Linked DNA regions of Bombyx mori. Each later gene encodes a partner of the first gene's protein in a complex. Links are inferred from orthologs where the notes say so. Each region holds a gene or a part of one and is shown in the gene's direction. Other genes may lie near its edges.

The links.
Region 2: the proteins of rabphilin-3A (region 1) and synaptosomal-associated protein 25 are in contact, whole or in part, in a crystal structure (PDB 5LOW), measured with the Rattus norvegicus proteins. The link is inferred for Bombyx mori from reciprocal best matches to the Homo sapiens genes RPH3A and SNAP25. Residues at the interface, in NP_598202.2 of Rattus norvegicus: His617, Ser618, Ala621, Ile648, Ser649, Ala650, Lys651, Gly652, Leu655, Tyr659, Leu662, Lys663, Lys665; in NP_112253.1 of Rattus norvegicus: Glu38, Asp41, Ile44, Arg45, Leu47, Val48, Met49, Asp51, Glu52, Glu55.

What each region holds. Positions count from the first base shown.
Region 1 is NC_085122.1:7,032,269-7,036,107, forward strand, and holds part of rabphilin-3A, read left to right. Parts: intron 1-3,234; coding exon 3,235-3,586; intron 3,587-3,790; coding exon 3,791-3,839. UniProt on the Homo sapiens protein: Plays an essential role in docking and fusion steps of regulated exocytosis.
Region 2 is NC_085131.1:7,036,954-7,040,377, reverse strand, and holds the end of synaptosomal-associated protein 25, read left to right. Parts: intron 1-487; coding exon 488-785; 3' UTR 786-2,724; coding exon of another isoform or gene 2,725-2,787; 3' UTR 2,788-2,820; downstream 2,821-3,424.

The sequences.
Region 1 (3,839 bases):
TTTTGTTGTCAAAAAATGACAGCAAAATCAAAAAATAACAGAACGTCACGTTGTGCAATTACTATTTCTACATTGTAGGCTTAAATGGTGAAAATAAAGTTCTAACTCTTCGTTGCTAACGTGGTATATTTTATCAAATTAATCTTACTTAGTAATAAGAATGAAATCTAACAACCTCATAAAATGATGCTTAATAAAATTTCTTTGAAAGACATGTGAAAACGTGAAAATTCCTTACATTCCAAATCTGACAGTCTTCTAAATTCTAAAAACCTTAAATGCAATAATATTAATTAAAAGATATAGGGAATCGAATCTTAATATAAGTGTCTTATCCTACGAATCACACAAAGATAGTGAGTGAGGCTTTGAAGCTAGATAACATTAAACTATCGTATGGCAGACCAAAATAGAATACACTATGAATAGAGTTGACACCAATACCATTGGCAAACAACAAAAATGTATTCCTAAAAACAATAGCGTGTGAGTATGCATGCGAATAAACGCCTAAGCACTTTTCCATTAACAGCTAAAATTCCCCTTAATCATAAAAAATTTAACATTGTGACAACGCAGTATGGACTGAACAAGACCAGTTTTATGTTTCGAAATGTGCTTGTAAATTTTGTTGTAGCTTCCGACGTTCGACTCTTATAGTTCTAGCCATCCACAAAGCCAAGACAATGCAGAATATCTGTGAAACAAACAAATAGTTTAAAATCGTATGCATGAGTTAAAGCTCAATAACGAAATTTTGAGGTAAACGTGTTTCTTTTTAATTTTCTAAATACAAACATATTTGGAGTGCTACAGAATGAATAGAAAGAATGCTACTTCACTACATAGTATAAAACAAAGTCGCTTTCTCTGTCCCTATATCCCTATGTATGCTTAAATCTTTAAAACTACACCACAGATTTTGATGCGGTTTTTTTAATAGATAGAGTGATTGAAGAGGAAGGTTTATATGTATAATAAGATCCATTAAATAGTGGAGAAATCAATAATAAATTACAGTTTCCGAAGCGAAGCGAGGGCGGGTCGCTAGTATTTTCATATTTAAAGCGTAAATCACAGCGGGGCGTAGCCCACTGAGTCTCTCGCCGGATTTTCTCAGTCGGTCGCGTTTCCGAACCTGTGGTAGATTCCGCGAAGCACTGCTCTTGCTAGGGCCAATGTTAGCAACACTCCCGGTTTGAGCCCCGTGAGTTCACCTACACGTCAAGGAGAAGCTGAAATAGCCTCTCAAGGCTATCAGCATAGGTAGGGAAAAAAAAAGAAAAAAAAAAGCTGGCCGTGACCCGGTTTCCCTAGTTTAACTAACTTAATGCAAATCGAGTTTTTTTTCTGACTAGTTACAAAGTAACACGGTTGGTTGTACAAAGTAGAAGTACTATGACAAAAACAGTGGCTTACAAAACAAATTTCCAAAAAAACTGAATAGATAATCGGACAAAGTATCGTGTTGTACTGTTGCAGAAATAACATCGGAGATTTTCTTTGGAATAAAACATATAACGTTTAATTTGCCTTTAAAGACAAAAATAAAACATCAATTTAAAGCTGTAATTTCACTCAAAATCAAGCTACATGTAAATTTAAGTCGTAAAGCTCCGATCTAACGAGCTATAAATTACAAGTTAGCTTCAAGAGCTGTTACCGGAGTAAGAAATGTAACAACATTATGCAGATTGATGAAAATCTCATGAATAAAAACTAACGATTTGTAAACGCCATAAAATGGACACTCAGCGTCTGTATATAAATGGAAAGTCGAGGAGATGGACCGTTGTCTGGCCTTCGCTATGTCCTCGTAGGGCTGTCACTGGTTTATAAATTTAAATTTAAAAATTTACTACCTTAACGTCCATTTTTGTTTCATAGTTAACTCAATCAAAACTAGATTCATATTAGGCAAAACATATTAAAATTTAAAACATAGACTAGACTATTGTGATTAGTAGAGTTTGTGTACAAACTTCAAAAAAATATATATCATATTTTGTGGTTTTGTGACCAAGCTGATGAACAACTACTTGTGGAGCAAAATTATATTCATTTCATAAATCTGTATGAAAAACCATAGCAAATAAAACCGGATATTTTACTGTTACAACCCTCGTACTGCGTGCGTCATACAAGATGACGGATGGAGGAAATGGGATGGGGAGGCTGCAACAGGGCGCTGCTAATTGACACATACGTTTTATTATTGACTCACCCAATTAAGGGTGATCTAATTTAGTAGACAATAACGATATAAAAATACCATTTGTTCATTTAATGGATTTATGATTAAACTAGAACAGTGTTTCTATTGATGATTATCCATAATAGACGGGTATTAAGATTTTTTTATTGCTTAATTTGGTGAAGTGGTTTTACGGTTCGCCAACTGATATCTGTTAGTTACCGGAGCCCATAGAAATGAGATTTCAATTGATGTGTATAGCCACGCCAATGCTTTAGGCTCTCCATGACTATCTAACGATAGAAATAGGCAACGTGGCGGTATAACTAGTGCGCGCTTGCAATTTGGCATCAGCGAAGTTTTCTGACCAAATATAGAGCATGTCAACATTTTTAAATGTAAGAGAATTCCTCGAACTAAAATTATAATCTCCTTTGTTGTTTAGAACATGAAAACAATCTTCGAAGACTCGTTTGATATTAAAACGTTACGAAAATTTTCACATTTTATTCTTTGTGTAGCTTTAGCTCAAACGAATAGCCTCCGGTCATATCCGAAAACTGAATAACACATGGAGAAGTTACATTTAATAAGGACTGGACTCGTACTTCCCATAACTTCGTAATGGCAGCAGGAAAACTTAGTTTGTTTAGGCCTTTAATCAAGAATGTTCAGTTTGTTCTAACACTACGAATGAGTGAAATAATTGAAAGACTAAGGAAGTCGTAGGGCTTTAATGTTTAATTATAGTTCAATTTTGTGTTTCAAAATAGCACTAGATTAAAAATTACTAATTTTTTTTTAACTTATTCTTATTGAAGTTACTTTATTTATGTTCTATTTTTTATTTGATAGTTGGTACTTCTAATGTGTGTATTGACGGATATATTTAAGTCGATATATTTTAAAATCGCAAGAGATCAGCTCTGTCACACATTCCATACCTAACTTCATTGATTTCTAACACGATCCATATGCATTAACGTGCGCATTTATACCATATATTCAAACTATATTTTTTACTATATACTCACTTACAGGACGGCCCATTTGACTGGAATGAAACTGACATTCTGACACACGGGTTCAGTGGGTTAAGCCTTCACAGGGCCGACAGTCTCAACCAAAGGCCATTGGGTTTGAAACGGACAAGCAGTAAAAGCAGTGCTTACAGCGTACGGAACGCGAGAAAGGATGCACAAAAACCGGTAACACAAATCGAAAGGGCCCCGGCCATCCCTGATGCCGGTTTTGGTACGTTAGAGATACGGCTGGCATACGAAAACGCTACATCCTCGTTAGCGGTCACGGTGCTAAGAGCCAGAGGGCTAATTGGCATGGACATGACAGGGTTGTCCGATCCGTTCTGTAGATTAGAGATTTTGCCAAAAGGTAAGAAAGAGATCTACTAAAACTATTCGGTTTTCGCAGGTCTTAAAGATAAATTAAAACCACTTTTACATATCAATCTTGCGGTCGTCCGTAACTAAGATTAATAACCGTAAAAGTTGTTTTAATTGGACAAGAAGACTATATTCATTGAATTTCACTATTTTAGGGTTGGCTGTAATGTAAAAATTAAATTCTCGTTTGCAGAAGGCACATATTCGAATAGACTTAGAACGAAAACCGTTCATAAAACGAA
Region 2 (3,424 bases), on another chromosome or scaffold:
AACCACCATTATTACACATTTGAACTCGAAGAAACACTAAATAGACAAAATAAAACAAATCACACAACTTCACTCCTCGCGTTCCCGCCAAAAAGTCATATTTAATCTATTCTCAATTTGACCACAGACTATAAGCAATAAGAAAAGTTTGGCAATAAACAAATAGTATATAACACACACGCATTGTGTGTGTTAAATACATATACAAATGGTAGTGTGTGTAATGTCTTGTTTTATTGATTTCATGAATTTTTAAGCAAATTAAAAAAAAATAACATTCTTCACCCCTTCTGTATATTCTCTATAAGAGTGGGAAGTTTCATACTCATACCGTCCGCGCAATTTTCTTAAAAAGGGATACAAAATTTTTGCTTCTCGCATTAATATATCGATTAATCTAAATTTAATCTAAAAATCAATTAATGTTGATCCGTTTTTTTTACGATAGATATTTTTTCTGTCGTTTAATATATAAGTCGTGTGATAGGATAACGAACGACGCTCGTGAAGACGAAATGGAGGAGAACATGGGTCAAGTGAACACCATGATCGGGAATCTGCGCAACATGGCCTTGGACATGGGTTCCGAGCTCGAGAACCAGAACCGACAGATCGACCGCATCAATCGCAAGGTAAGATCGAATGGTTCGTCACAACCCTACTACGTGACAGACCTGTATAGTTCGAACAAAGTAAATTCGTTGAATGTTTACGTAAAATTAGTGTTGCCAGATAGAAAATTTTTTTTACTATATTCTCATTTACTTCTATTTAAATTTAAATAAGCTGTTATTTAATTCCTGAAAAGAAATAAAATTAAAAAAGAGTAGTTAAGCACTCCTTTGCACGTATGTACAGACGTATTTTAAAATGTTTTTTTGTCTATATTATCATAAAGAATAAATGAAAATAACATTTAAATAGATTCTAAAGTTCTCTTAAACTTAACTTTTTCATGTTTTTAATATTAAGATACAACAAAAATAGTCTGGTTTTTTTTATTAAACTAATTATCTACAGTAATTATTATATTTAATATTTACATCAGAGAAATAAATAAAATGGCAACACTACCAACGAATTTACTGATCAAATCGAAATATATTTCAAATCTTCGTCTTGTACATTATCTGGTGTGGTTTTCAAATTTTAATCTGCTAATGAGAAGAAACGAATTGATTTTCCTCGATGAATTCTGTCGCTTCTCATAGCACTCATTGATCACCATTTCAATGTGTATGCATTTGCCTGTCACTATAGTAACGAAGTTGCTTAGATAGAGTTTGTCCATTATACGAAAAATGTAGCGCTTAGTGGCCCTCGAAATTGTTTGATCACCCGCTTACTGGCAGGTATTGGGTAGAAAAAAAAATAGAGTCGAAATCCGATTGGTTAATAACTGAAAACATGACGTAGCTAGGATTTATTTTTAAAAGTCGTTATAACCTATAAAGATTTAGGTCGTAATTCTGGTTAAATTCTACTTAGTGTTGCTATTGTAAAAGTCTCGAACAAGAAATGCATGTCATTGGTCATCTGGAGATAAAAGAATTGTTCTTGTTGTTGTTATTTAGAGATTAACTTACTTTGGTCGAATAAGAGTTTGAGGCAGTTAAAATATAATATCTCCTCAACGGCCCTGTCAATTTATGATAAGATAAAATAACATGTTTCCTCGGTAGCCAAGTAAGCCTATGAAGCGGATAAAATCTCTTGTTACCTCCGGCGCTTAGATTAATCTGTGATACGAATAGAATAACCAAATTCCCCCGTCGCCAAGTGAGACACCCAAAAAGAGTTATTATTTCCTCATTAGCCAATTACGAGGAGATATAAAATATACATTTCCACGACAGCTAAGTCAACCAAGTATATTATTATGCAAAAAAAAGAAGTAAATATGAAGTTTTAAACAATTTTACTTGGTGACTGAATCGATGGTGCTCCTGATTGCTGGGTCGAAGAACGTGGGTTCGATTTCCACATTGGCCATACATTCATTGTAACACTGAGACCTTAGAACCCATGTCTCAGGGTGGGTGGCGGCATTTACGCTGTAGATGTCTATGGGCTCCGATAACCACTTAACACCAGGTGGGCTGTGAGCTCGTCCAACAGTACGCAAAAATAATAATTAAAAGGTCTTTTTGCTATTTATATCAGTCTCTTGTTTGAGGCTGGATGACCGCCTGTCACTTGTTCCCGGTTATTATCATTATTATTAACTATGTATGAAGTTTTAAATCTGTTTATAAACCTTAAATAGTCGACCTATAAAAAATTAGTGTTCAAATGTGATATAGTTGCATACTCTTATCGCCTATTCTTCTATCTTAAGCATGCTCTATTAGATTTAGAAATAAGAATGATACGATTTTTTTTTTTTTCGTAATTTAGTAATGTACTCTCGTCTCACGATGTCATGACTCCCAATGAATACATTACATAACCACATACCGGAATTAGTTCCGACATCATTCGAATAACATGTCCGACTCCCGCAGAATTAGAGGTCATCAGTAACACGCATTCATACTAACTAACATGTTATATACTCTGTCTGTCAAGAAACAGCGACTGACATGCCAATGGAAATGGCAAGCGCGGATAAGTCGTTATAGCCGGTCCGACGCCGCTTTTATTATTATAAACATGAGCAGTCGCTGTGTATTGAGCTTGTACTATATATATATATAAAAAAAATACGGGTCTTGTGTATCATAGGGAGAGTCAAATGAAACGAGGATAACTCTGGCGAACCAGCGCGCTCACGAGCTCCTCAAGTAAACGACGGCGGCACTCAAACACACAACAGACAAACACACAGTCTCGTGGATTGTTTATAAATACGCGTAAATCAAACAACAAAAAAATAATAATCCTAAAAGCGCCTAATCTATAGTCCGTATTTGAATTTGTTCACGAATAATAATAGAGAATTTTCAAATGGTACGTATAAAATATGATGGTACAGTTTTGGCATTATTAGTTTCTAGTAAACATTGGTTTGAATTAAGATGCTATATTTGATTGCATCTTGATAACCAAATAAATGACAAGTATATTTTTAGTGGTTTGTAAAAAGCATATAGATGTTCAAAAAGCCTCGTCCTTGCGCTATTGTATGTGAGTCGACTATTATCAAAGGCGGCAATCTGACTTTTGGACAATGATTGGTAAATCAGAAAAACGAATTATTGACTTTGTATTCCATTGGCAGTCACAAAACTCTTCGGAACGACATCTTAGATAAATAACAGGTTAACTATTAACCTTTATTTAATGCAGGTTTTGAACCGTATTCTTTGAAGGAGACGATTATATTCAAATAAATCTGTATTGACATATCAATAAAAAAATTTTGTCCAAATGTACAGATTGCCGCCTTTGATAATAGACGACTCATGTAAAGTATTATTAGATG